Diceros bicornis minor: one gene and its partners. The protein of the gene in region 1 interacts with the protein of each later gene in a biochemical or structural test. Links are inferred from orthologs where the notes say so. Each region holds a gene or a part of one and is shown in the gene's direction. Other genes may lie near its edges.

Evidence for each region.
Region 2: of the proteins of MAPK3 (region 1) and PTPRB, one has a biochemical effect on the other in vitro, tested with the Homo sapiens proteins (2 studies listed by IntAct). The link is inferred for Diceros bicornis minor from reciprocal best matches to the Homo sapiens genes MAPK3 and PTPRB.
Region 3: of the proteins of MAPK3 (region 1) and PTPRJ, one has a biochemical effect on the other in vitro, tested with the Homo sapiens proteins (2 studies listed by IntAct, with this or other methods). The link is inferred for Diceros bicornis minor from reciprocal best matches to the Homo sapiens genes MAPK3 and PTPRJ.
Region 4: of the proteins of MAPK3 (region 1) and SREBF2, one has a biochemical effect on the other in vitro, tested with the Homo sapiens proteins (2 studies listed by BioGRID). The link is inferred for Diceros bicornis minor from reciprocal best matches to the Homo sapiens genes MAPK3 and SREBF2.

The regions. Positions count from the first base shown.
Region 1 is NC_080765.1:21,907,655-21,914,511, reverse strand, and holds the start of MAPK3 (mitogen-activated protein kinase 3), read left to right. Parts: upstream 1-3,849; coding exon 3,850-4,022; intron 4,023-5,055; coding exon 5,056-5,238; intron 5,239-6,857.
Region 2 is NC_080756.1:953,860-961,537, forward strand, and holds the start of PTPRB (receptor-type tyrosine-protein phosphatase beta), read left to right. Parts: upstream 1-4,658; 5' UTR 4,659-4,673; coding exon 4,674-4,728; intron 4,729-5,910; coding exon 5,911-6,306; intron 6,307-7,678. Other genes in the region: PTPRR (receptor-type tyrosine-protein phosphatase R), read left to right, coding at 2,838-2,931. UniProt on the Homo sapiens protein: Plays an important role in blood vessel remodeling and angiogenesis. Not necessary for the initial formation of blood vessels, but is essential for their maintenance and remodeling. Can induce dephosphorylation of TEK/TIE2, CDH5/VE-cadherin and KDR/VEGFR-2.
Region 3 is NC_080770.1:22,581,638-22,589,499, reverse strand, and holds the start of PTPRJ (receptor-type tyrosine-protein phosphatase eta), read left to right. Parts: upstream 1-4,856; 5' UTR 4,857-4,974; coding exon 4,975-5,235; intron 5,236-7,862. UniProt on the Homo sapiens protein: Tyrosine phosphatase which dephosphorylates or contributes to the dephosphorylation of CTNND1, FLT3, PDGFRB, MET, KDR, LYN, SRC, MAPK1, MAPK3, EGFR, TJP1, OCLN, PIK3R1 and PIK3R2. Plays a role in cell adhesion, migration, proliferation and differentiation.
Region 4 is NC_080764.1:8,684,421-8,691,537, reverse strand, and holds the start of SREBF2 (sterol regulatory element-binding protein 2), read left to right. Parts: upstream 1-4,107; 5' UTR 4,108-4,230; coding exon 4,231-4,318; intron 4,319-7,117.

The DNA.
Region 1 (6,857 bases):
GCTTAATACAAACCTCATCAGAGCTGTTTTAGGCATCTCTGAGGAGGAAAAAGACTGAAGGAAAGGTGACTAGTCAGTACAATAGTAATAGCATAATACAATAGCAAAGTGAGATGAGGAATCTCAAGGCAACGTCAGACAAACCCAAACTGAGGAACCTTCTATAAAATAACTGACCTGGCCGGTAATCTTCAAAAGTATCAAGGTCATGAAAAACAACAACAAAAAGACTAGATCAAAGGAAATGAAGGAGTCATAACAACTAAATGCAACAATTGACCTTGAATTGGATCCTGAACCAGAAAATGGAGATTAATGGGAAAATAGGCAAAATTTGAAAAAGGTCTATAGATTAACTCTATTAACGTTACTGTCTTGATTTTAATAATGTACTGTGTTTCTTTAAAATGTTAACATTTAGGGGGTGTTGATGAAAGGCATACAGAAATTCTTTGAACTATTTCTGCAACGTTTTGGTAAGTTCTGAAATTATTTAAAAAGTAAAAAAAAAAATAAAAACATGAAATTTGGGTTTGATGAATAGGAGAGGGGATGGGTTTGGGAAATATGTTAATAAGATGACAAGAAGTTGCCTAGATCTGGAGAGAAATGGAAAAATGAGAAAATAACAGGGTTCAACCCTGCAAGAATGGTGGCAGTCCTGAAGCAAGTCGAGTCTGGAAGAGAAACAGGTTTGGGAATGAAAAGGAAGACTTTCATCGGGCATGCTGATTTGATGTAGCAGCTAGCCTCCAAGTGAAGCTGTCCAGCAAACACTGAAACCTTGGAACCGGAACTAGGGAGAAAGGCAATGGCTAAGGATGGAGATTTTACATAAAGGAAAAAGGTGACACCACAGGAATGTGATGAAGTGACTAAGGGAGATGCTGTAGAGAAAGAGGCGTGAGAAGGACAGCCCAGGGAAGGAGCCCAGTGGGGGCAGGCAGAGCTAACCACAGAGATTTCAGAGGAGGGATCAGCTGAAGAATGCTTACACCAGAGGAGAGATGTTTGCGCAGAGCTCTTCTCCAACATATGAAGAAGTGTTACGAGAAACGTGTAAGAGAGGTATTTTGGATTTTAAAAAAAGGTCAGCTTAAATCTTAATAAATTATTAAACATGTTCTGACCCCTATTCCTGCACATTTGCTGCCTTCTCAGTTTCTGCTGGCTAGTTGAGTTAGTCGAAATGGGAATGTTCATTTGTACCCTTCAAATTGTTACTCGCTTGTGTTATTACCCACTGGCCTCTCTTGTGAACTTGACGTCACAGGTAAGAACTGGCTTAAAACTTAGTCTAGATAGATCCAGAGGCTGGAGCTAAGCCAAATAGAAATGGGAAAAACTCTATCATCAGAAAAACTCTAACAATGCAGTGAGCTGTGAGGTAATGAACTGATGGAGAAAATGATTCCTAGACCTCCTTCCAACCCCACAGTGCAGCAAGCTTCTGCTTTTTTTGTTGTTGTTTTCTGTTAAATGTTCATGGTATCTACTTCATACAGCTGCTGCGAGGATGATAGGAGATAAAGTACATAAAAGCGCCTGGCACAGAACAGATGTTCAGTCTACATTAGTTGCTTATGAATCTATGAAGCGGACTAGGAAATCCGAGTCCAATCTCCATGGAATTACCAATCTCAGCCACTAGAGGGGAATCTCAGTCACACTCCTTTGATGAGACAGCTACAGCCTGAGGCAGCAGGCACCCCGCCGGATACACCAGCCTTTCCTATGCCGGGAAACTCACTCCCACTCAGGAAACCTGGCTCCATGCTGAACTCCAGGGTGTTTTCTCTGAGTCACTATACTCTGCCACAGTTGCAAAATGATCTGGCAAAAGTCCCTCAAAGGTTTGTACTGCTTACTGAGTAACATCCAAACTCCTCGCCAGAATCCAAGGCCTTCCTCAATCTGTCTCCTTGCTGCTCATTCTGTTCCTTCTTCTCGATGCCTTTCCTCTATCCTGACCTTCTGAAACCCTACTTCTTTTTCAACCACACAAATCCATCTCCTCCATTACTCCCTCCTCACTCTTTAGAGTGATCTAACCCACCCCTGAGCTCACATGCCATATAATACATCCATCTATCTTGTATGAAATTGATTTATGTATGTGCATCTTTTCTCTTCAATAGATTAGAAATTCCATGAGTAGAGAGGCCAGTGGGTAACCTGACCAGGGTAACACAGCAAGTAAGCGGCAAAAATGGGAGTCTAACCCAGGCAATCTGGCCCAGAGAGCTCTTGCTGTTAACCATTATTTCACACTATATAGTAATCTTTCATTAACCACAGTGCCTAGCTCAGAGCTTTGCACTCAGTGCCATTCAGGAGCTTACCAAATGAATAACTAAAAAAAACAACACTGATCTAATTAGCACCTCTTCAACCTTCACTGACTTATGGGCTATTGGGAACCAGCAACTCAGTCTCATTAATCTGAATTAGAGTGCCTGGCCATAGATCTAATTATGAGCAATTTCAGAATCATAATTACTGTTCCATTTTGTCTCTTGATCTGTAATGTCTATAAGGACCTACTCCCAGCTTCTCAGGGAGAAAAAAACAACATGATTGCTTACTGAAGCCTAGGAAATGTGTTTTTGTGAAGCTTCCAGCTCACATCTTCACTGTGAGGTAAGGGGGATGGACTGGATGGTCTCTGAGGGCCCTTTCTTCAGTTTTAAAAGTCTATAATTCTGAGACAATGGAATTAAAAAGAGCCCTCTGCCTCTGTGTCAGGAGATATCATTTTGAGTCTCATCTCTGTCATTATTACAGTGATCTTACCCAAGTTCGAGTCCCCAACTCTGACTCCCCATCCATAAAACTTGATTCATTCAAAATTTTTGAGTGTCTGGGTGCCAGGCACTGGAAGATACAGTAATGAACAAAACAGACATGGGCCCTGCTCATCCAGCTAGGAAAACCAGAGGACACCTATATTGACGGGCTGTCCTAAGGAAGAAACTGAAGATCAAAGTATTGTGTAAACTATAAAGTCTAGTACAGAATCAAAAGATGATGATCTTGACAGGATTCCAGTTTTGTCAAATCTAACCACAACAAAACCACAACCTATTTTGCTCTTTTTGAGAAAAGCCTGATACTGTATTTTAACCAAAGCCAGTCAACTTGGCATGCAGCTCTCTCGCCTCTCCCCCGCTTTCCATGTAAAGGTAGGGTGGGGTTATCTGTCTTCGGGGTACTCCCGGGGTACATGCACGGCTCGGTTGCTGGCAGAGGCCAGGTCCCTAGCGCACTCCCGCAGGTCTCTGTCCGAAAGCCATTAGGCTGGGTTCTCCAGCTCTCAGCTGTCTGAGTGACTCCCAAGTCACCAGCGCCGGCTCGGGCCTCATCTTCCTCATCACAGGCCACACCTGTGAGGAAGCCCTCTCCCACAGCTACTGTGAAATACGGATAGGATCACTGAGCATCAGAGGTGAGGGTTCCCTTAAGGTTCCATCTCGAGCCCGGGGCTGCTCCTTGGGCGGGGCCAGGCGCCCCGGTCCTAGCACTCGCTTGCTGGGTGGCTCTGGGTAAGGTCACCCAGCGGCCCTACTGGCTGTTCTGCATTCTAGGGGAGGGTCTGGACAATCTCAAGGCGGCCCTGGGAGCTTCTAGCTTAAATGGAAGAGCCGGAGCCGCCGGGTACCATGAACCACAGCACCAGCGGCGGGAAAGCCGGGCGCGCAGGGCCCACGTGACGGGCGCGGGGGCGCGCGGGGGCGGGCGGGGCGGGGCCCGGCGCGCGCGGCTCCGCGGTGACAGGGCGGGCGGGAAGGGGCGGGGCCTCGGGCGGGGCCGCCGGGGGGGCGGCGGGCGGGCGGGAGGGGAGGAGTGGAGATGGCGGCGGCGGCGGCGGCTCAGGGGGGCGGGGGCGGGGAGCCCCGGGGAGCTGATGGGGTCGGCCCGGGGGTCCCGGGGGAAGTGGAGGTAGTGAAGGGGCAGCCGTTCGACGTGGGCCCGCGCTACACGCAGCTGCAGTACATCGGCGAGGGCGCGTACGGCATGGTCAGGTGAGGGGGCGTTCCGGGGGAGGGGGCCCCGCGGGAGGGGGCAGGGAGGGGTGCTGAGTGCTCTCTGGGCCGTGGAGACTCCGAGCGTCCCGAAGAGGCAGGGGCTCCAGGGGGCTGGAGAGCGTCCCGGGGCGATGGCTTCTGAGTGCTTTCGGGGGGAGGGGGCGCAGTGTATTCGAAGGAGAGAGGGCCTGGGGGCTTTGAACCCACTATTCTAGAATGAAGGAGGGCCATCTGAGTACGTATATGTGCGGGAGCTGTGGGGACCTTGGGCACCCTATAGACACGGGGTGAGGCGAAGAGAGTAAGTATTCTTGGGGAGGTAATATCCTTAGTGAAGAAGGAGTGAAGGACCCTTCTTTGGGGAGAAGATGCCTTGGTTCCCCCAGTGAGGCCTGCCAAGGAGTTTGGGAGAGAAGAGCGGGGCTCAGGGTGGGGCAGGGCTTTGGGCCTGGGGCCAGGGGCCCAGTGAGCAATGAGCAGTCCCGGAGTGCCTCCCTGCAGCTTCGAGGAGGGCTCTGGGAGTTGTCCCAGCCCTGCTGTGTGCTCTGGGCATTTGTTCATCTGGGAACAGCTCTGCTGCCCAGGTCCCTCGCCCTGACACCCAGGCCTGCCTTATCCCTTTTCTCCAGTGCCTCCTGTGACTCCCTCCTTCTCACTGTATTTGCCTCACTGTATGTCCTCCACTCATCTCCCACCCCCTGGACCTGTCTTGGGATGAGGGAGCCCATCCTGGGCAGGGGAGGATAACGGGTCAGGGCAACTAGAATGGAAATGGTTGAGGAGAGGGGAAGCCAGTGGTCGGTCAGTCTCTTCCTCTGTTTGTGAAGTCACTGAAGGGCTGGCTGGCTGGTCCCCAGCTTTCTCCCTGGAGATCCCAGGCCTTCACAGCAGGAAGGAACCAGCATTGTTTATGACTTGGCCAGAACCCTCTCTTGCTCCCTTCTCTCCCTGCCAAGGCCTGGGTGGGGCCACCGGGCCTGTACTCCTCCTTTGTAAGGCCACACCAACAACATCTCTCTGGCCCTCTCAGCTCAGCTTACGACCACGTGCGCAAGACTCGAGTGGCCATCAAGAAAATCAGCCCCTTCGAGCATCAGACCTACTGCCAGCGCACGCTGCGGGAGATCCAGATCTTGCTGCGCTTTCACCATGAGAATGTCATTGGCATCCGAGACATTCTGCGGGCGCCCACCCTGGAAGCCATGAGGGATGTGTATCCTTCACCTTGGCCAGATGGCTGGCCAGGCACAGCCTCAGAGCTGGGCTGGGAGAACATTGGCTTTCTTTCTGTTTCCTTCTTCCCTACCACCCTCCAAAACAAACCCAGTAAAAGAAATTTTCCAGCAGAAAAGAGGCCACAGAGTGTAAGAGGACCAGGAGGCCTCAGATGAATCCTGGCCTGCTGCAGCCATGCAGTGTGGCCTTGGGCAAGTCTGTTCTCTACGCTCTGCCTCAGTGGGGGGCTGGGCAAGATGGTATCTATGGGAGCTTTGTCTTCTGACATCTGCAATTCTGTGCTGGGAGCCAGCCTCTGCCCACAGTCAGTTCTTGTTTAACAGATGATGATTCTTCTCTGGGTCCTCAGACTGGAAGGAAGAAAGCTGGCCTTTTTTGAGGGCCTACTATGAGTCAGGTGCAGTGCATGCCAAGTGCTTTAACATCTCTTATTCTACCTCCCAACTGCCCTATGAGATGGGTCAATCAGCTCCATTTCAAAGATGAGGACACTGAGGCTCAGAAAGCCTAAAATCAAGTGCTTCTGTTGCTGCCTGCTCCCCTCCCCCAGATGAGAACCAGTCCTTCTTTCTCTGAGACTTCCTGCTCAGAACCCCACCCCAATTACCTGTGGACTTGAACCTTGCCCAGGGAGGGACAACCGTGCCTTCATAGCCCTCCCCCCATATCGCTTTCCTAGTGTATTGTCCGCTTCCTGCCTGGCTGTTAGCACCTTTGTAACACCCGCCACCTCTCCCCCACCACACCCTACCCCCCCCCCCAGTCAGTCCCAGTCCTCCACCCAAGACTGGGGATTTGTAGCACAGTGTCTGCAGCCCCTACCACAAACTGTGGGCAGGAAATCTCCACACTCACCCCCAGCTTGCTGTGTGACCGTAAGCAAGTCACTGCATCTTGCTGGGCCTCTCATCTGTAAAACAGCAGGGTTGGTCCAGTTCTCAGAAGGCCCTTTTAAGGCTGATTCTAAAGACAGTCCTGACTCATTCTTCCAGACACAACCAAATGACATTTATTTACTTATTTATGTTTAATCTTTGTTTTATCCTAAAATATAAAAGGACATTTACTCCTCTATCTTCTGATGTATGTCCAAGCACTCTTTGAGTAGGAGTGTGCTCTTGGGAGTTTCTCCTCATATGTCTTGCACAAACCATTCCCATAAGGCAGGCATTTATTTTAAAGCAAACATTTATTACATGCCAGATGATGTTCATACATTATTTCATTTAACCTCAACAGCCATGTGGCTCAGGCATATATAACAGCAGTACTAGTTCTTGTTTGCTGAGCGCTTACAACATGGCAAGCAGGGGCAGGCTGCTTTACACGGGTCATTTCATCTAATATTCACAACCACTCTAAAGAACAGTTCTTCCCCCTGCTTTACAGATGAGGAAATCGAGGTGCAGAGAGGTTGAGGTCACGAAACCCATGAGCAGTGGAGTCAGGGTTTCAGACACGCAGGTCAACTCCAGAACTACTGCTTTTAACTGGGCAGTTCTCCTGCCTCCCCCACTTTATTAGTCCCGTTTTCCCAGGAGAGAAACTGAGACCACAGAACTGAAGCGCTTTGCTCAAGGTCACCAGCTGAGGTAC
Region 2 (7,678 bases), on another chromosome or scaffold:
GATAGGAATAGTGATTTCAGTAAATAAGAACTTTGTGCTGAAACCAACAAGTTGAAATTAATAGGAATAAATAGAAGGTCTTGCATTTAATTTCAAAAATTCAATAGCATAAGTACAGAATGGAAGAGAGCTGTAATTTTCACATTCAAAAAAATCCTGTGGACTTTTTCATTAACCTAAACCTTCACTCAGTATCCTAAAACGCTTGCTGAGCAACAGGCACTAGCTAGGCCCTGTGGGGTCTTACCACCCGACGCGCCGGCAAACGCAGCCTCGTTGGCCTGTAACATGTAGCTCAAGGGAGAAAATTCCCGCTGACGAGATCCCCTCGGGAGTAGACACAACACTCCAAGAAGGTCCTAGCTGATGAAATGACCTAGGGAAGAGGGAGACGAGACGGAGGAGTGACAGGGAAACCAGGCTGTACAGAAATGCTGAGTGGACACAGGATGTTTAGTCTGGAGAAGAGAAGATCTTGGGACTTTGATGCTTGTTTTCCAGTGTTTAGAGAGCTATTGTGTAACTACAAGAGGAGGCTTAAGACTTTTTTGGGTTATTTCAGTTTGACCAATGGGGTGACAGCTGGAGAGGAGCAGATTTATTTTGATGTCTTCAAAGGTGTTCCTGCCAACTCTGGGAAAGGCGGGCTCTAAGGGTACCTCGCCCACGAGCATTCCAGCAGAGGCTAGCTGACCATCTGCTATGTGGCTGCTCCCTTCTAGAAAGACTACATTCTGTCAGAGACAGGAATAGATGATCTCTGAGGATCCCTCTGACGCCAAGTCTTTATTTTTATTTTCCAAATTAAGTGGGAAGTGATATAACTTTTCACATACCTTTCTTGAGCCTTCAGACCAGCAAGAATTTTGCTAGCTACAACCAATGAGTTTGTTTCCCCATCTTCCCCACCTTTATTGGCTGAAATAACCTTAACTTAGTTAACAGAAAGTCACAGTGAATACACTCCACACATTAAAATTCACTACTCACCCATCTGGGGTAAAATTAAAATTCACTGCTCGCCCATTTGAGTTATTAAAACCTAGACTGTATCTCCCTTCATTCACCAGTTGGACCTATAAATACCAGTTCTCATCAGAACAGACAAGAAGGGAAAATCTTGCCTCAGAGTGAGAGAAAGGGCGAGAGGAAGTCCACAGACCAGAGCCCGTGGGATGGAGCACATATAAGCCTCCACACACTGTCTGCAGCTCAAGGGGGAGGACGGACGATCCCCTGAGCTGTGTGAATGCCAGAGGAAGGGAGGCACCTCTGAGCTCCTTGGAGCTGCCCTAATATTTACCGTGGGTGTATCTCCCCAGCTTCACGGTCAAGGCCAGCATCTTCCGGACACCTGCTATGTTTTTAGGTGTGCCCAGATTTCATCCTCCAGCTAAGAGTTACGACATCCTCAGCTGGCCATTTCTGTTGTCAGCTTATGACCAAGGAACACGTTGGCCAGCAAGTTGCATTCAGAACAATAAATTGTACAGTTCTAGGGGAAAAAAAAAAACAATGAAATATTTCTGCCAATAAGTTGCTATCACCAAAAACTGCATATTTACATCTTTATTTCTTGCAAAATACATCATTTTGGCATCATGTCGACTGCTTGGTTTAGTTTGAAGGATGAAGTCTTACTGCTTTAATATCTTGTAAGCTTATATTTATAGAGATTGACAAGTAAACGCAGATACAAATTCAGTTTTAGTTATTACCACTAACCAGAAATTATGTTACAAAGAGGCAATATATCTTGTTTTTAAGTCGAAGTGCTTATATGGTCTAAAAATTATTTTGAGTGGTAACAACAGCCGCTAGGAAGAACTGGCTAAAACAGTTTCAAAATTGGTTGTATGACCTCAGAGTTGTGGAGACTATATTTATAGGACTTCCAACTGTTACTAACAGTGATGCTGTTACTCAGTGAGCAGGAAAAATAAGTAACGTTCATACTAGCGTCTAGTAGGTTTGCCAAGTAGAAGAACCATCATTATAAAGAGCAAGGTGTAATACAGGTATTTTATCTATAAAAGTATAATGAAAAGCATCATCATTTCTCATGCAGGCAGCTGCCTTCTACCAATCTGGTAACAAAGGCGTGCTGGGTAACTAGTGACCACAATGACGACCACAAGAGGAAACCAGAGCCGATTCCCTTTTTCCAGCTCATTTAGGGCCCACCTGCTACTGTGTTTGGACACCGAGCACACCCCACCCAAGGCTGGGCTGCTTCCACAACGAGCTCAAAGAGACCAGTCCAGGTGGTGGCCTTTTACTTGTGGAAAGAGTGACGTTTCACAGCTGAGTTTTGGTGGTAAACCTGCTTCAATCAATTTTAATCCAGGTGCACAAACCATTTTAACATAGATGCATGACAAGGCAACTGAGAAGTACCATGAACACTCCAGATGCGTGAATTCATTTAACCTCACCACGATCCTGTGAAGTAGGTTCTGGCATTACCCCACCTGAACAGAGGAGGAAATGGAGGAACTTTCCCATGGTCACACAGCTAACAAACGGCAGGGGAGGGTTTGAACTCGGGCAGCCTGGCTGGGCTCAAAGTCCAGACACTTCACCATCGGGCGCAGTACAGCCTCCCTGGGAAGGCGTGCAGGTGAACTTGACCAAACGCTGTTGTGTGCCAGCACTGTGTTAAGCCCGTACGTACATCAGCACATCCAGTCCCCCAGCTGGGTCATCCGGACACAGGCAAGAGTCACCAGGCCCACTGCTGTGTGTTGTGGGCACGACAACCTGGCCTGGACGTGGTCTCTGTGTCCCTTAGCTTGCGGGGTGTAGCAGTAACTTCTCGTGTCATCTCTTCCCTGCAGGGGCGGCATGGTCCAGACCAGTGAGCAGTATGAGTTTGTGCACCATGCTCTCTGTCTGTACGAGAGCCGGCTTTCGGCAGAAACTGTCCAGTGATTCTCTGAAGATTCGCCCGACCGTCCATCTCTGGGGGTGAGGAATCAATTACCCACCTGAGGCTTCTAGAAGGAGTTTCCTGAGGTGGAAGGAAGGAGAAGCCCCGACGCCACACTGCAGCACGGACTGTGGAAAACGGCAACATATTAGCGATTGCCAGCCCTCGCGTATGTGAGTGCATTCGTGAGCCTCCCCACGCTATGATGGACGTCCCGAGCTGGTGGAGGTGTGACAATGTCTCACACAGCTGTGCAGGATTCTGTTTTGTGTCCTGACACCTGCCACACAGAGTGTGTGTATGAAATGCTCGGTGACACGTGTTGTCCGGTGACAACGGGAAGAGCTGCTGGAAAGAGGATGCTTGTCTGTGTAGACGCTTCCGTGTTTGCAAACCTGCCTATGAACAGACGTCAGCCAGTCACGCCCCTGTCCCCAGTGCTGTCACCTTCCTCAGTTACCAGAGTCTTGCCACTGAAGGTGCAAGCAATTGATGACAGATTTTTAACAAATAAGTCCTTGTTTTTGAAAAAAAGATCAAAAGTTGTAACTATTTTATATGGAAATGTGTCTTGATAATATGCCCTGTTGCAAGTGTATTGATCAGTATCTCCTGTCAATCAACCAAGAGCACAACGATTGTCATTGGGTGTCTATGTCCTTACTCTCTATCCTTGGGCCTCCAGGTGGCCTCTGCTCCGGGACTCTACCCAAGGTATTTCTCATTGTGAGTCATTTCACCTTCAAAGGGAAAAACAAATTTGTAGCAACTACGACGTATCAAGAATTTTAAACACCTGTTTCTTTTCCTAAGGAGAAACTTTTGAATATGCTGTCTACCTGGAGTCTCTCCCAATCAGAGGGAGCCTTTGGGAATGATGTAACCTGTCCCATTTCCAGAGGTTCTTCAAAAGGATGCTGCCATGCACATCCTTAAATTTCTGAAAGGTTTTAATCCTCAAGAGACAAATAAAATTTAAAAAACTACCCTCAGCAACACTAGATGTTCTGCTCAAATATGAATTTTAATGCAGCTGTGTTGACTTTGTTTCATACTGCCAATAAACTACTCTTAATACTAAATATTGAGTAAAGCGTCTACTTTTTTTCCTATTTGGATAGAGGCTGTTATCTTTTGGGAGAAGCCTGAAGTAGATAATGTGGTGGGTTTAATTTTAGTCTCTGCCTCTCCCCAGTGGAGATGACTATCTGAAAACGTAATGTTATTGCTGAGAGATAAGGACCCAGAAGTGCCGTCATTGTGCGGTCTTCCTCGACAGACTCCCAGCACATCTTTACACCAACAGCTCGTGTCTGTGTCTTTATATCCCTTGTCAGAGACCCTCAGAAAGTACACGGTCTGTGTTTATTCAGCAGAATCATATCACCTGAAGAGGTGTCATGTTGTAGGAACACTCAGTTATCTAAGATCACAATTCCTTTCTTCCCTCTTGAGGTTAACAAGTAGCCATAAGCCAGAGGCATGGTAGGAGAAAACTTATGAGCTTTATTCTGCTCCTGGAGGCTAGAATTTTTCTACATAAAACAAGAGAGGTAGTCAGGATCCCTTCTTTCTAAGGAAGCAGACAGAAGGACAGTGGTGTAAACCTCCCCCACAATTCAATAGGAGGAAGCGCTCGTCACCGACTCCCCACCACGAAGGATTTCCTTCCTCTACTTTGCTTCTCTTATCTGGGAAAATCTTTTTCCCCCCAAGCGAAGCATGAGCAGTTGTTAAGTGGAAAATGGAGGCTGAATTTTACATGGCGATTCTTACCTGCTTGCTCTTCAGGAACTCAGGTGAGTGGGCCCGCCTTGGTGTCCTGTCTTCCTCCAGGCGCCCGCGGAGGAGCCTCTGTCCTTTGAGAAGAGTCTGGAAGAAGGCGGAAATGGAGCCAAGTCTCCATGGCAGTTTAGCCCAAGACAATGAGGAGGGGGATAAAAGGAGCCAGCTCTGCCCACACCTCAGGCCCCAGCGCCCCGGGCAGCTCCTAAAATGGCATCTGGACAGCCGAGAGGGGGGACCTGAGGAGACGGTTTTTGTTATTATCCAACAGTCTGTGACACGCTCCAGGCTTTTCCCCAGCCGGGTTATAGTTTTGTTTTCTTTTGTGTTAAAGAAAGAAAGTATAAGAAACATAATTAAAGGGGCGAAGAACTGGGGTGTGTTTTGTTATTTGGAAGGAAAGTCTGAACATTTTCATGGGAGAGCTGGGAAAATTAAGTAAAACTCAGAAAATAGTTTCTGAGCCTGAATATCCCACTTTTTAATACTGATGTTTAACAATTGGATGTTTAATTTTCTTACCCTGAGAAAAGCTGATTTTTTAATCTATTAGTATTTGAGAGAAACTGTAGACATTGTCACAAAATAAAGAAATGCTTCTCTCCAGGACTAAAAGAAATTTAGTTTGTGATAATCAATACTTTGATTGGCTACGAAGTAGTGCTTAGAGGGGTGGGAAAATGTGTTTTATTTTTGGATAAGTATATCCAATTTTTAAATTTGTGTTCAAACCATTCCATTTGTATACAAATACTTATTGCAAGGCTAACTTAAGAGTTGGGAAAAGGGTGTTTTTTCTAGTAGGGGCAGAGGTGAGATGGGAAAAGTAAAGTCAAAACTGGGCTTTTCATGGCTTCAGCCTATTTAACTAACTGGGCTAAAACATCACACCATATTTTTGGGTGATTTCATTTCTTTTCCAATCTCCCTTTCCTTATTTCGGTGGGGTGTGTTTTCTTCCCAAAACCACGTGAAAGTAAAAGAAAGGGAGCTAAGTGTGACGTTTGGACATTTTTACATTTTTACATGGGATTTTCAATCACGTGTTGAGTCTGGAATATTCACTTGAAATGACAACAATGGCAGAAAATGAGTAAACCCGGCATTTTGTGTGGCTGATTTGTGGGTGGGTTGTTTTGTTTTCTGGGGGCCTGGCAATTTGCGACATGGTACTTTATGAGCTTTTCATCTTCCAGAGGGGTTTCAGATTGTCCACGTCCAGAAACAGCAGTGCCTTTTTGAAAATAAGATAGTTGCCGTGGGCTTCTGCAATGGGACCAGCCAGAACCAGCAGTGGACATGGACGGAGGATGGAAAGCTCCTTAATGTTAGATCTGCGCTGTGCCTGGGCGTCTCCAACTCCACGAAGGGCCCTTCCCAACCGGCCATCTTTGCCCACTGCTCCCAGGCACCCCGATGGACCTGCTACGAGCAGGAAGGGTTCCTCCAGGTGGAAAATGCCTCTCTGTTTCTCAAGAAAGAAGGCTTCAAGGTAGTGGTCAAGAAAGGCAGGAAATACCTCCATAGCTGGATGAAAATAGACGTCGACAAAGAGGGAAAACCAGTCAATGAAAGCCTCTGCTTAAAAAAAGGTGAGCTATTCCTTTCAGAATCAATTCTGAAAGTTCTGCCTAATGTCTTGGTTTTTCACATTCAGGGGAAATCCACATGCCCCAACAAATTGCTATGGAGGATCCACAAGCTAATGGAAATGGGGTGTGTGCTACCTGTTGATGTGGAAAACTCCATTACCCTTGTTAAAATAAGCCCAACTTTTCTCTTTCTGTCTCTCACTCTTCCTTCCCTTCTCTTCTTTCTTCTTTTATTAATTCAACAAATATTTCTTGAGTTTCTCTTTTGTGCCAGACACGAGGCACTTTGGTTAAGTACTATTAGATGTAGGAATACAGGCCAGGGCACAAACACAGCATACATGTGGAAGGACTAAAGCCACTGAACAGGAAGTTAATAATTTTGCTGATGTAGACACTTTCCTTCTCTGATTGTGAGGAGCTATGAGAACACCAAGACGGTGCTTGAGAAGACTAGAAAGATAATAAACAGTGCTTTTGCAAATCTCTTGTACTAATGTTTAGGGGTAGAGATCTTTTGGAGGTAACATACTTTTGAAATGGTAAGAACCAATGTGCAGCCACAGAGTTTTCGGATTCATTGACCATGATGGACACAACCCAGATGGTAGACAGGTGTCGACCTTGTATACAGGCACACAAACTCCTGGTGCACCACACAGTTCAGACCTGTGCTAGGAATTTTTATTTGTGGATACAGCTTAATTTTCTATTTTATTTAATCATTTTATTATTTATTTACTTCTCTATTAGAGGTTTGCTTTAGGAAGTCAAGAAAGATAAAACTAACAGAATATTATATATTAGATACCAACGGACCTTACATGTCACTGGAGAAATTATCTAGAAATGAAGCCCTTCATTAGGGAGACTGAAATCTGCCAAGATTAGGTGACTTGTCCCAGATAATTTAGTGGCACGGGTCTGACTAGAACCCAACTTCTTAGCTCCTTGTCCAGGGTCCACTCCCTTATACAGTGTTTCCCAAATGCTTGACCACAGACGTCTGCCCAGCTGGGCACGTAAGAATTGCCTGGTGTGGGAAGGGAATCGTTCCCATCATTTCTCCCCCATTACCACCTCTGAGACTTTGTTTCAAGAAATCTGGATTTGGGCATAATACTTGATGTTTTTTAAAAAGATCCCCAGATAATATTGATCCATGATCCCATTTGTGGATCAGCATCCACAGTACCTTTATATTTTTCTAATCAGGTGTTGATTTTTGAGGCCTATATGAGTCTTTCCACCATGCTGATCTTCGGACAGTTTTCTGTCATTCATTCGTTTCATAAATTAACCAAGGATTTAATTTGATGCACTTGAATGCTGCGGGTTCTTCTACAATAGAAGTTGAGCGTTATAGTCCCTG
Region 3 (7,862 bases), on another chromosome or scaffold:
AGAACTTAAGTAACTTGTCCAAAATCACACAGGTAATAAGTGGCAGGACCAGGATTTGAACCCAGGCAGCTGACTACAGAGTCCATGCTTCTCCCTCTACACTTTATTGCTATGAGCAATGCTCAGGCATCTATCTACCTACTATGATATATACATACCCATGTATGTATACATCATTTATATACATAATTTAATTGTATGTAATTAACATATGTTAATTATGTTAACATAATTTAACATAATATTATACATAATATAACATAATTGCCATATACGATTTTTATTTGCTTATTTAGATGGCAGGGTATTTTTCTGCCGACTAGCGGGATTTCACATGGCACCATTGTTCCAAGTTGATTTCTTACTCTAACTGCCGGGCCCCAGGTGTTCGATACATCCAGCACAATGTGATTAAGATTTTTTTTCCAACTTGAAAAAAAAAGGAACATTTCTTTTCAAACCTGAAAAAAATTAATTTGTTTTTAACGAGCCCGGAAGGACCAGCTGCTGAGAAGCCCTGGGACTCTGGGCCCTCCTGCTCACTCTCGCTCTTTTCGTCTTTACACCTCTCAGCCCTTTCTTTGTCTGAGATGATGTTTCTGCTGCAAGCTTGACTGCTTCCTGCCCCCTGCCTGCCACTTGTGGTCTTTGTGCAGAAGTCGTTCTCAAGCCCTGGACAAAAGCCCTTGTCCCCTAGGCCCCAAGTCTCCTTGTCACACACTCCCTGTGTTTCCAGGTACCCTAAGATCCTGGGTCCTGGGTCTGTCCTGCCAGAACATGAAGATCCTGGGCTCACTTGGCACCTGACTCAGGCCCTAACAGCTGGGAGCGCAGAAGCCAGCGGGCTCACCCTGCGGGTGCCTCGACTTGGGGAAAGGGTGGGGACTCTTGAGATCAAGGGCTCCGTTTCTGCGCTCGCAGACCCTCAGGTGGCTTTCTTTCCTGCACTGAAAATCTGTCACATGCAACTGTTTCTTGCAAAGTCAAACTTTGCTTCCCATCTCAACCCACATGCGCACACCCACAGCCACACCCGAGAGAAAAGAATTAGGAAAATGCTTAATGTTGCGAGTACTTGAAGCCAGAAACAAAAAGAGCACTGCCAAGGCCCTCCCTGGCTTGGTGCATGGGCAGGTGATTCAGGCACTGTTTGGGGAGGAACTGAGGTCTGGTGGACAAACATGGAGTTCTAACCACAGGCCAGTTACTAGTCCACGGGAAACATCCTGTTACTATTATAAAGATGAAGTGCTCCTTTTTTTTTTTTTTTTAAAGAACTTTCTAGAAGTCTTCCTTTCCATTCTGATTCAGTTCAAGTCCGTGAGGCAGGAAGGTCTCAGGGCAGCCATGCCTGCAACATTAGCTAATCAGACTCCCAAGAAACATTCCATTCTGCTTAAGAGGGCTTTGGGGAATGGTTTGCTCATGGTGGCTTTTAAAATAAACTGAGGGTTGCCAGGCTGAATGGACTCCCTGCGGGCCTCATGACCTGGTTCCAGGCCGGTGCCCAGCAGGCTTGCCCTCCTGGTGGGATGGTGGACGTGTCATTAAACCCGGTTGCCTTGCCTGTTCCCTGTTCCTTGTACCCTCTGTCCTTCCCATTTTAAAATTGGGGAAACTGAGGCCCAGGAGAGTAATAATAAAAGTAATAATAACAGCCGCACAGCCAACACATAGAGCACTTAACTTATCCACAAACGTCAAAGAGAGGGATTCCATGGCATAGTGGCAAGAAACATACGGTTTCAGATCCTGGTTTTGCCACTCTGAAGCTGTGTGACCTTGTGTCAGTAACTAAACCTCTCTGAGACTCAGTTTCATTGTTTCTAAATATTGATAATGATACCTATTTTACAGGGTTGTTGTAAGGAGTAGAAATAATGAAATACCTAGAGTTGTGCCTGGTACCTAGCAGGTACCTGATCAATGGTCTTTATTATTATCAGGGACACAATGCAGGCCAGTCACAGGATAAACAGCATTTTCCCATCCTGCTTGACAGTAAGAATTACCCAGGGAACTGGTTAAAAATACAGATTCCCAGGACTTCTGCACTCTATGGAAAGGCATGGGAATCTATGTTCTAATGAGGCACCGGGTGATTCCTATCAGGTAATTTTGGAACTCATCCGGGAACCCTCCACTCCAACTTTTTGGGTTGGTTCTTTTGTTCTCTGTGCACCTGGCCCCATAGCTTTTGCTAGAAGGTGGACATGATTAAAAGGTCAAATATCATTATCCATTGTCAAAGAGAATGTGCCTTGAAATTTGCACAGTGGACTTATCCCCAAAAAGCTGTTTGTAAATAAAATGTGGGGTGTATGCGTGAGTGTGTGAGAGCGGGGACATATTTAATGCCTTGGTTTGCTAGTCAAAGGAATGCATTCAATTCAACTAAATAAATGTTGTGTGAGTGACTGTTATGTGCTGAGGATACAATGATAAACAAGCAGCAGGGCCCGTCTTCAAGGGGCTTACTAAGAGTCCAGTGAGGAAGATGGTCAAATAAACAGGTAAGTACAACATTGTGGTTAGATAAGTTTAGCACAGGGAGCTCAGAGCGCCTGGAAGGGGAAGCACACTCAACTCAGGGTTGGGGATCCGGGATGTCCTAGGGGAAGTGACATCTGAGGAGGAGACCTGTAAACTGGAATCTAGTCTCAAACCCTTTTGCAAAGTGAATGATCCTTCCCTAATTTATCCTTGCGTGAAAATGACCTTTCACATCCTGGTAACCCTCCATACATTTATACAACCACACAGCTGCACAAATACTGAGTTCCTGCCATGGGCAAGGCCCTGAGTGAGGTGTTGTAGGGCAACCTGGGGGAGGAAGCCCGGATCCCTGCCCTCAGGGAGTTTACACCACACCTGCTCTGGCTTAATTTCATTTCTCATGTAGTTCATTAACCCAGTGTGATCTGTTTATGACTGAACAGGTAGGCTATTATTCAAGTCTTTGCTCCCTTTACAGAAAAGACTGTTTATTCTCTTTCATCACCATGTGATGGGGAAATCTGGTTCCAACCAACACTCCAGTGCGGACACACATTTCATCCAGGAGAAAAAGTGCATGCTGAAGTTCCCAGAGTTATTTGCAGCCCCGAGCCATGAAGCTGTGGAGGCCTGGAGGGATCTGTGGGGTCTGTAGGGTCTGCGAGTATCCGGGGCAGCATGCAGACCTGGTAGCAACTGCAGGAAGTCAGGCCTTCCTTCCCTCTGGGCATCATGGACCCAAAAGCCTTTCAAATTACCTTTTTCTGCCCCAAGAAGCGGAGGAGGTGCGGAGGAACGGAATTCCCTGTGAATTATGATAATTGCAGCATGTTTAAACAAAAGGTGGCAAGGTGTGTAAGTCAACGAGGTCCCCTTACCTTCTGAGCTTGTCTGTGTGTGTGATCTGGTAGGATCCTCTTAGACCCTTTAAGTGAGGGTGTGTTTCCATCTCTCAGATGGGGAAACTGAGGTACAAGGGGTGCCTGGAGGTTTGCACCCTGGAGGTCTGCAACACCGGTGGTTTGCACTCTGCTGCACATAGAATCCAGCCCAAACTCATTATTCAAAGTCTCCTTCAAACATGAACCCCACAACCTCTCATTCCCTCTTCTCAGAAGGCCAAGCCCGAAGCACCTGCCTTCTGTTTTTTTGCCAAGTTGCTCCCACTTCCTGAGACGCTGCCCCCCCCCCCCCCCCCGCCCCCATCTGCCTGGTGAAATTCAACCCATCCTTCAAAGCCGAGCTCAGGTGTCACCTCTCCTCCTGGTTGGAATGCATCTCTCCCTCCCCACCACTCCTTGGGCCCGGCCCTGTGTCTCATTACTTCTCGTTGGGCAACTGGCTTAGCCTCCCGGATCCTCCGTCCCCTCCTCTGTGCGTGGGCATAGTAGTAACCTTGGCGGTAATCTTTAACCCCTTTCGGGTTCGTGGACTTCTTTGACAATATGATGAAAGCGGCCAGAAGAGCTAATGTTTATTGAGGCCCATTGTATGTTAGGCCCGGTGCGTACAGACTTTTCCACCCATCATCTCATATAATCATCAGTCACGTCTCTCTAGCCAGGTACTAGTGTTATAGTCATTGCATAGATGAGGAAAGGAGGCCCAGAGAGGTGACATGCCTCTCCAGAGGTCACACAGCTAGTACTACTAGCAGAGGCAGGTTTACAGTTTGCCGGAGCTGGAGTCCTAAGCTCTGGACCCGCTCCATTGCCGGCTCTCTGCCTCCTTGGCCCGGGGATGGAGGCGGGGAGAACACAACACACAGCATCTCGCCTACAATTTAGGAGTTCATGCATCCCCGAGCCCACCCACCGGCCTGGTCAATCAGGCCTTTGCTGGGTTGCTGCCTAGATGCAATCCTGGCTGTGCCCTCCTCGGCAGGAATATCGGTCAACATCTGGCGACCCAAACCCGGGCCAAGGAGCGAGGCCGCGGCTGGGCAGCTGCACCGAGGGGGACGCGCGGGCTCGCGGCGCAAGAACAGCGGAGCCGCGTCCTGGGTCCCAAGTCTCAGGAATGTGGGAGGGCTGGGCGGAGAGGGCGGGCGAGGCGCGGGCGCTTCCTCTGCCCGCCGGAGGGGAGCCTCCAGGGCGCGCGCGGGGCGCGCCGCCGCCCCCTCCCCGCCTCCCGGCCGGCTCGGCGAGGGCGGGGGCTGCGGCGGAGGGCGGCGAGGGGCCGCGGCGCTCTGCAGCCGCCTGGCCGGCCGGGCGGGAGGAAGCGATGAATATTCAGAGGGGGAGGGGGAAGGGAGGGGGCTGAGCGCTCGCCGCGGCTCCCTGCAGCCCGAGCCGCATGACGCGCGGAGGAGGCAGCGGGAGCCGCCGGGGCCGCCGGAGCCGGGATCAGGGCGCCGCGCGCGGGGGGTGGGCGCCGCTTGCTCCGCCCCGCGAAGCCCCTGCGCGCCCGGGGACGCGTCCCCCCCGCGGCCGCCGCGCCAGGCTCCGCCGTGTGGCAGCCGCCGCCGCCGCCGCTGCCATGTCCCCGGGGAAGCCCGGGGCGGGCGGAGCGGGGACTAGGCGGACGGGCTGGAGGAGGCGGAGGCGGAGGCGGCGGCTGGAGGCGGCGACGAGGGCGCCCGGGCTCGGGCACACGGCGGGGCCCGGCTCGCGCGTCCCGGGCACGTTCCAGGGCGCGCGGGGCATGAAGCCGGCGGCGCGGGAGGCGCGGCCCCCTCCGCGCTCGCCCGGGCTGCGCTGGGCGCTGCCGCCGCTGCTGCTGCTGTTGCGCCTGGGCCAGGTGAGCCGCCGGGGGCACCGGGCGGGGGGGGGGCGTGAGGGTGGGGGCGGGACTGGCATCCCCTGCACCTGCCCGGTGTGCCCCGCCTGCCGGGCTCGGGGGCGGTAGCGAGGGGCCCGAGTCCTCGGAGCCCCCGTCTTGGAGGGGGCTCGCGGGAACCCCGGCCGGCCTCGCACGCCCGCCACCGAGCCCCTTCCCCGGCTGCCCAGGACCGGAGGGAGGGCGGCGGGATCGGGGTCCCGGGGTGCCCATCGCGTCCCCGTGGAAGCCCCCGCGCGGCTCCAGGCCGTCTCTGGCCCGGCGCTTCCCGGGGCTGGTCCCGTCTGGCCGGCGTGGGCCCGCTCGCCCGCCCGAGGCGGCCGGAGGGGGCGTGTTTGCAGAGGGCTCGCGGCGCGGAGCGGAGCCGGCCTGGCCGACCTCCGACCCGGCCTGCAGGGGCCCGAGGGGCCGGGCCGAAGGGCAGGGCTGCGCGGTGGGCGAGGCACAGGGCCTCCGGGCCGAGGGCACTGCTCTGGGGCAAGTTCCCAGCCCCGGGAAAAGATGGCCCAGCAGGCGGGCCCGTCACCTTCCCAGAGAAGCTGCTGGCTTCCCCGGGTGTTTAATTCGTGCTTTGTGGGCGCCGGCGCTCCCCCCACCGCCCGGTTTTCTAGCTTCGCTTCTCGGATAATGCTGTGTTTGGCGTTTTGGTGACCGACCTTTCTGCAAGCGCCGGTTCCCCTTAATGATATTCCTCTTGGCGGTGAGGCCGGGCAGCTGGGCGATGTTTCCATTTCACAGATAGGGAAGTTGAGGGAAGAGAAGTGAAAGAGCAGAATCAATCACCCAGCCCTTGCCACCGGGGCTGAGCAAGCGGATTCGTCCTCGCAGCCTTCCAGGAGCCTGCTAGGGTCTTGAACCCGCGCTGTAAAGTGCCCTGGCGATACCTCTGTTGTGCATGTTGTCAATGAAAATCTTGCTTGTTTTGTACAGACAGCAGCTGTCAGGAGATGATGTGTGAAACCTGGGAAGTGAGTTGTTGGCTGGGGATGGAACCTGGTTTCAGGGAAAACTTTTCAAGCACAAATACAGGATTGTCTGAGAGCAGAAATGGCAGCCTTGGGGCAGCAATGCAGGCCAGCAGGCAGGACGAGAAGAGAGAGCTGGGTCCCCCGGGCTGAGGTAACTCTCAGCACCCAAGGTGGCTCTGGCCTCTAAGGTCCCCTCAGTTTTCCTCAGCAGGCTTTGAACAGGCTCTCCTGAGGGCCTGGAAGGCAGTGTGACCTCCTGCAGAGACTACTGGGTTGGGTGTCAGAAGACTAGCTCTAAGGCCTGGCTTCAGGGTTGGACTTGCTCTTGAGTCCCCTCCATCCTCAGTGAACAGCATTTGTAGAATGGGTGTACCACCACCTGCCCCGTAGAATTGTTTGAAGGGCTTCCACTGGCCGATGCCTGAAGGAGCTTTGTAAACATTGAAGGGTGTCCAGATGTGATTATCGTTAAGGTACAGTGTGCGTGGACTGACTTCTCCCCTTCTCTGTGAGGAAATTCATGGAGAGCAGTCTGTGAGATTAAAAAAAAAAATTGCCTCGTAATTGAAGATCTCTTGTACCAAAGTTTGTGCTGAAGAAATACGTGGTCTTCATTTATTTCTGGTTTAATTTGGTACATATATATTTTATTACATTATTTTATTTATGTTTTTGCACCAGCCATGGGAGTTGCTAGCTATGCTTTGAATCAGCGAAAAATTTCTTGGGTAAATTTATTTCTTGCCCAATCCTTCCTCGTATTTCAGTAGCATATTGCCACCCTATACTTGTCCCCTATTCAGATATTTCCTTCCTCTCTCACTTGTTCTGTAGAAACCCGAGGACTCTTTATTTCTTGTTTTTGGATACGTTATAAAATAGGAAATCTAAAAGGCTCTCTGAAAAAGCATTTTCAGAATCCACATTTGACAGTTTATTTTGGTATTGGATATTTCAGGGAATCAGTGCATTTTTGGCTGGAGCAGACTTCCAAGATAGCTCAAACCTCTCGTTTTTTCAGATGAGGGTATTGAGGCCCAGACAAGACAGTGGTGGGGCTGAGATCACCCCGCAAGGGACTGGACCGTGCGTTGCCTACTTGTGCCTAATATTTTCATGATGCTTTTTTTTTTGGTCATGTTTTCACTTTCCTCTTACTTTTAACTATAGACAGCGTCCTACTTCACTGCGTACTCCTGAAACTGTGGGTGTAAATTGTTTTTCAAAGTTGAATCGTATTTGAGATTTTTGAAGTTCGTGCATTTAACAAACGTGTGTGAAGGTATCTGACTACTTCCCTAACACTTGACTGCTTTTGTGAAGCTTGGAGTGTGTGTGGGTGTGTGTGTTTTTTTTTTTTTTTTGTGAGGAAGATCAGCCCTGAGCTAACATCTGCTAATCCTCCTCTTTTCTTTTTTGCTGAGGAAGACTGGCCCTGGGCGAACATCCATGCCCATCTTCCTCTACTTTATATGGGACGCTGCCACAGCATGGCTTGACAAGCAGTGCGTCGGTGCAACCCCGGGCCGCCGCAGCGGAGCGCGTGCACTTAACCACTTGCGCCACCGGGCTGGCTCCTGTATGGGTGTGTTTTAAAATGGAATCAACTGTAGCTGGTTA
Region 4 (7,117 bases), on another chromosome or scaffold:
TATGAACAGACAAAGAGAGGGCCCCAGTCTTACCTGTCTTCACCTCTGCCGCATCTGGCACCTCCATCCTCCTGGGCTCTTCCTTCAACACCTTCAGCCTCGCCATCTTGGCTGATCCCTTCCTCTCCGCCCTCAAATGGGCCCAAGTTTTCCCGTCTGACACCTTCAAAGAAACAAACAGAGCCACTCTGCTCTCCCCTTCTCCTTCCCTTTGCTGCCATTGTTGATTGTTGTGGTCACTTGTTCTCGGAACTCCACCGTGAGTCTTACTACAGGCAGAACCTGCCCACTGCCCCACCAGGACCTATAAAGGCCTGAGGGCACTTCTTTGTCCAGCCTTCTTGCAGCTAGGATTCGGTTCTGTGACTGAAGCGCCACCAACCAGATGCACCAGCTTGTGTGGGAGTTGTGCTGGTTGGAGGCAGTGGCAGCACTGGGGGGATTCTAGTGGCCAGACCAGCGCCAGGGGTGCCCAGTGGTGGCAACAGTGATGTCTTCACCGTGGTCTTGGACGTTGTTTCTGTCTACCAGGCCCAATCTGAGGCACCCCTGGAGAGTCGGGGAGTTCCCCAATATCCTCTAAGGCGGGGTTTCTCAACAATGGGCACTATTTACAGCTGGGGCCAGATAATTCTTTGTTGTGTATGTGAGGAGGGCTGTCCTGTGTGTTGTAGGATATTTAGCAGCATTCTTGGCCTCTATCCACTAGGTCCCAGTAGCAATCTCTCAGTTGACAACCAAAAATGTCTCCAGACATTGCCAGATGTCCCCTGGGGGTAAAATCTCCCCCGTCCACAGCCCTTTTCCCTCCTTATCCCAGCCCCACATCTTCCTCTGCAGTCCCAGGTCACTGCCCTCAGAGAGGTGCTGTTTACAGCTCCTCCCCCTTGAGATGAGCCTCCCAGGCTTTGGGCCACCTGTTGTCCTCATTCTCTACCCTCAGTCTGAGTCTGTTCTAGCTTTTCCTGATTCCTCTTTCTTCACCTGCCCCTTAAATGAAGAGTTTTTTAGCTTAGTCTCTCCTCTCTGCTCTTTTCTTGGCGACTGCATCCTCAGACCCCAAAGCTGATGGCACCTGCCCTGTTGCCACCTGATAACCCTCAGTCCTTATGTTTTAGCTTATCCAAATCATAACTTGTTATTTTCCACCCCCAAGCCTCACCTCTGGATTGAACTGTGGGGTACATGCTCTTGCTTAATCCTGGAGGAAGTGACACCTGAACTGAATCCTAAAAGATTGCGGGAGGAGGGAGGAGACAGGCACTGTGAGCAGAGGCCTAAAAGGGGAGGCGTGAAAGGTAGTAAATGAAAAAACATGCCAAGTTCTCTTCTGTGACCTGTAGTCAGTGCCCACTCTGTGGTGGATGTCTGGACATAATGGTCATCTAGTCCAATCCTACCCTTTTCAGATGAAGAACCCAGGTCCTGTGGAGTGACATGTCTAAGGCTGCTCCACCCCTGAGCACCAGCCTCTGTTCTCCTGGCCAGGGCAAGTGCTAACTGGAAGAGATGTTCAGTTAGGTGGTATCCAGGGCCAGAGGGAGAATGTCAGTGTTCTGCTGAGGCTAGGTCTAGTGCAGCCATCTTTCTTGCACAGTTTCTGCTGAGCCTTCATTTGTGTCCCCTCAGGCCACTTTGGTCCCTATTGCTAGGCACCACAGCCTCTGGGGCAGGTTCAGGCGGGAGCCGTGGGAACAGCTGCAGAGTGGGAGGCTCTGTGCCCACCTTGCTCCTGGTGCTCGGGCAGCCCTCAGCGGGGGGTTACTGAGGCTCTGGTATGGGATGGGAGGGCACTGGACCAAAGTGAGTCGTATGGTAGGCCAGCAGACAGTCACCCTGCAGTGTGGGGAGCCCTGTGAGAGCCACTGAGGTGCAGTTGAAGATGGCACTGTCCAGCTCAGTGCTCAGTCCAGAGCAAGGCAGCAGGGTTTGGTTTTCTGTTTCAGGGTGAGACTGGTATAGTCTACGCCAACTCTCCTGCATGTACACAATGAAGAGAATGTTCTTGCCTTTTTTTTCCTCCAAAAATAAGACACTTCCTTATGTTACACATGTTCATTATAAAAAGTAATTTAGGGGCCGGCCTGGTGGTGCAAGCGGTTAAGTGCACGCGCTCCGCTGCGGCGGCCTGGGGATCGCCAGTTCGGATCCCGGGAATGCACCAAGGCACCGCTTGTTAAGCCATGCTGTGCCGGCGTCCCATATAAAGTAGAGGAAGATGGGCACGGATGTTAGCCCAGGGCCAGTCTTTCTCAGCAAAAAAGAGGAGGATTGGCATTGGATGTTAGCTCAGGGCTGGTCTTCCTTACCAAAAAAATAAAAAATAAAAAGTAATTTAGACAATACTGAAATGCCAAGAAGAAAGTAAAATTCATCCTAAATCCCACCACTCCCATAACCGTGACTGACACTCAGCTGTTGGGGCTTCTTTTGCCCATCATAGAGCACGTAGATCCCTATTTTTTGGATAACGGTAGCTACCTTATATGGGCACTTACGTTATGCCAGGCCTTATGCCAAGTGCTGGCTGGCAACAGCTCCTTCTGCCTCAGGGCCTTTGTCCATGTTGTCTGTTCCCCTCGCTATACCAGACGCAGTTCTCTCCTCATAATTTTAGGTTTTATGTTAAATGTCAGAGACCTTTCCTGACATCCCAAGTCAGGTTCCTGGTTAGTTTCACCACAGCCTTACTTTCCCTTGATCATTTGTACCATTATCTATTATTTATTTTTGTTTTTGTTTAATGTCTGTTTTCTTCACTAGACTGGAAGCCCTCAGAGGGCAGGAACTGTCTTTTTGCCACAGAGATGTCCAATAAATATTGTCAGAAGAATGTGCAATCTCATTTAATCTTCTCAACTATGAGGGGGCACTATTTCCCCGTTTTAGAGGTGACAAAACTGAGGCTTAGAGCAATTATGTAACCAGCCCCAAGTCACACTGCATGAGTGGATCCATATGTCTGCCTCCACACACCTGTGCACTCTTAACCGCAAAGCAACAGCTGCCTCTCACAGACTGGCAGGAAACACACTTTTCCTTTTTAACAATATATTGTGAAAGTCTTTGTCAATAGACATACATTTATGTAGGTAATGTTTAACGATGCCATGGTATTCCATTGTGTGGATTCATCCAGTCCCTTATTGGGCTTCCCAATTTCTCCCAGTTACAGAGGATTTGTGATGGCCATCTTTGAACACACATACTTGTGCACTTCTTTAAGCACTCGTACATTTTATTCCTTAGGATACATTCCTAGAAGTTTGCATATTCGTTTACATCTACAGCTGCAAGATGGGGCAGTGAGGTGCTTGAAGGAATGGGAATCCGCGGGTGGGCTGCGCATCAGAGTCCCTGCAGAACTTTATCAAAATGCTCGTGCCCGGGCCCCACCTCAGGAGGCCTGTGGTGGCCTGGGTAGCGGCATTATTTTGAAAGTCTGCAGGCGGTTCCGAGGCACCAGGGCGAGAACCGTTGGAGCATGCGCGTCGTCGCGGCAGGTGCAAAGGCGCAGAGGTTGTAATATGCGCTCCGCACTTGGACAGTTCGCGGGCAGCGCGGAGCCTCTGTTTCCGCCTTTGTAAGGGGCTTGGGAGGAACGCGACTCCTCTCAAGCACTGGGGTGGCCAGGTTTGATCCTACCCGCTCTCCCTGGCGGGCAGGCGGGGGTGGGGGGGGGCCGCTGGGAACATGATGTAATGTGCTTACAACTTGCTCCGGGGGCGACCAGGGGGCGGGGGTGAAGCGTATTAACCCTTCAACCCCTGGCCGGTGGAGGGGGTAGCTTGTGGAGCAGACCCAACGGAAAACGGAGCGGCTCCTTTAAGTTAGGAGAAGGAGGTTGGGCTGAGGACCTAGAGGGTTCTCCTTGCTGTCGCTACTAGGCCGCGAGGGGCGGGGCCTCGCTATGCAAATCTGAGCTGCTGATCGATGACGCGCCATCACCCCACGCGCCGCTTCGCGCGCCGATTGGCCACGGCGACCCTGGTCCCATTGACAACAAACAAGGGGGCGCGCGGCCTGGGGGCGGGGCCGCAGAGGGCGCGGGTGGGGGCGGGGGAATCCCGCCCCGCCCCCTCCCGCGCGGCGCAAACATGGCGGCGGCTGGCACCAGCCGGTGAGGCGGTACCGGGCAGGGGCTGTCGGGTGTCATGGGCTGTGGCGGCGGCACCGCCCCCGCGTCTCCCTGAGCGGGACGGCAGGGGGGCCTCCGCGCCGAGCCGGGCGATGGACGAGAGCGGCGAGCTGGGCGGTCTGGAGACCATGGAGACGCTCACGGAGCTGGGCGACGAGCTGACCCTGGGGGACATCGACGGTGAGGAGTGGGTGGGTGGGTGGGAGTGCGGGGGCGCGCGGGGAGGAAGGGGTTACGGCGGCGCGCGCGGGTGCGCGTGCGCCCCCCCCCCCCCCGGCGGCCCCGGCTCGCGCGGGAAGAACCAGCACATGCGGTCGCCCGGGCGGTCCCCAACCTGTCCCCGCGCTGCGGGTTTGGGCCCCCGCCCGGCAGCTCCGCTCCGCAGGCCGTGGGATCCGCTCCGGGCGCCGCGTGTCTGGAAGCGGAGCAAGAGTCGTGGGGCCGGAGCGCGGAGTCGGAGGCGTCGCGGGGGCCCAGCGGGAGCGGCCTGAGGAGAGCGCCGGGCCGCCGCCCCCCTCGCGCCGCCCGAGGTCCCGCTGCCCCGCCGTCCCGCGTCGCACCTGTCACTCCTCGCCCGGGCGCGGGGCAGCTTTGGGATTCCCGGGACCATGGCCTCAGGCTCCGCGCTCCCACCCCTGGTCTTCCTGCGGTTGACCTATGGCTGCGTCTCCCGGTGCTCGGGGAAACTTTGGGCAGCGAGGGGCTGTAGAAGCAAGTTACTGCTGAAGCGAGCGGTGGCAGCGGAGTGTGGACGCATGTCTCCGGGATGGAGACCCGGGCGCTCCTGCTGTCGCGCTACAAAGGGAGTCGAGCAGCAGGAATTTCGAGTTGTGGCCCCTCGAGGACAGGCTGGGGAGCGGGTGGCCTTTGTTCTGGCGACCTTAACAGCGGAGTGGAAGAGCTAGAAGGAGCTCAGGGATCCTCTCTTCCAATGCTCTCATTTTGTCACCATGGGAACCCAAAGTTTGGAGAGGGTCAGCGACTTGCCCAAGGTCACCCAGCTGGTTGCAGAGCCCAGTTCCTGGGCTAGTGTTGGTGTGGCTACATCAGGCTTTCACTTGACCCCTGGGGGTGAGGAGTCCAATGAATAGGTTAGTAATCATAATAATAACTGTAAATAGTCGGGCTCTTCTGATATTCTAGGCCGAGATACTTTCTGTTGTTTCACTTATTCCTCACTACAATCCCATGAGATGGATATTCTTATTGCTCCTATTTTACAGGAGACTGAGGCTAGAAGATGTTAACTTGTCTAAGGTCACTCATCTTAGATTGTCCAGAACCCATGCTGTTAAGCAGTAACTCAGGTGCATTGTGCTCTTGAGTTTACAAAGTGCTTTTATGTCCAGGATCTCACTACAGCGTTGCAGCCAGATATGATGGCTACACCTCATTGTACAGATGAAGAAAGGAAGGTAGTGGAAGATTCTCTTCTTGAGGAAGAGATAAATGGCAGCAGCTAATTGAAAAGGGTTCCATTTTCCCATTTTGCTTCTGTAACATTTCACCCCTTGGCCTGTCATTGCTTACCCTTTTTGGTCATCTGGGCAGTGTGGTAAGACCCTTAATTGAAGCCCCAAGTCTAACCACAGACTTTTCCACTAAGTGCTCCTAAATACAGAGATGTATTAACAAATGGAAGAGGAAGGTTCTTGGAACTTAACAAGGGCAGCTAATATGTTTTGAGCACTTATGTGCCAGGCACTGTGTTAAGCACTCATGCACATTCATGTTTTCAATCCTAGGGTTGAGAACCACCATTATATTATACAACTCTCATAGGTCCTGAAACTGAGGCCCAAGGCGGTTCGTTAACTTACCCAAGGTTACACAGCCAGTAGAAAGTATGTCCAAAGCTGCCTACCAGCAAGCTCACACAAAGAAATTCTTGTGCATTGTGCATTCCCGTTCCATAATCTGTGTGTATTTGTCTTAGTTGGCAATATGTTAAATTACCTACTGGTTAAGTGTTAACTTTATCCCCATAGATTTCTGAGTAAAATGTATGTTCTGGAAACTACCACAATGATTCAGTGGCTTCACAGGTCCCCATATCAGATTTTGGAAAAAGTGGCTCCTTGTCTTCAATTGGTCAAAAAGTGTTCAAGTCCCAGCTGTGGTTTCTCAGCTGTAGGGAACATGAAAGATAGGAAAGACAGAATTTTATGGCCTCATGGAGTTTGAGATGAATAACAGTAAAACTGTAGTGCTAAGTGTAGAACAACTCACAATTGCTCAGAGCAGTAAGTGCAAGTCCGCACTGAGGGAGCTTGGTAAAGGCTGGCTTACCAGGAAGGCCACATTGAGGAGGTGGCCCTGACATGGGCCTTGGAGGACAAGAAGGGTAGGGAAAGCTGAAGGCCAGTGGTCTGCAGATACAAATATCCTTGAATACTTCCGCATCCATTCCCCCTCCAGAACGTCAGTTCCATGCAGGCCAGGGCCTTTGTTTTGTTCATGCTGTATTTTTTGCACCTAGAACTAAATATTTGTGGAATGCCTGTGGAATACAGCAGGTCAGGCAGGGTTTTAAATTGTGTTAGACACAGCCCTTGGGGTTGGGTTAGATCAGGAGTGGCCAGCCAGTGTGCAAAAAGGAGCCATTCAGGTGAGGAAGAAAGGACCCTGGGTATGAATACATATACTTCCTTTGTATGTTGGGGGGGGGGTGGGGAGGCGGTACTTACAACCTGCAGAGCTCATGTCTACCTCCAGGGGGTCCAGGGTGGGCAAGAATCCATTTGGCAACATCTGTCCTGCTGCAATCCATTAGTGCCCTTGGAGGGTATGGACCCAAGGAAGCCATATCCATTCACTCATTCAGCACATCTCGTGAGTGGCTTCTAAATACCGCTATGATGGACAAAGTACTGAGGATAACTTTGAACAAGATAGACAAGTTCTCTTAAGTTCTTGGAGGAAACACAAGCTAAACAAATAACATAAACACACTTTTGGCAGGGCACTATGAAGAAAATA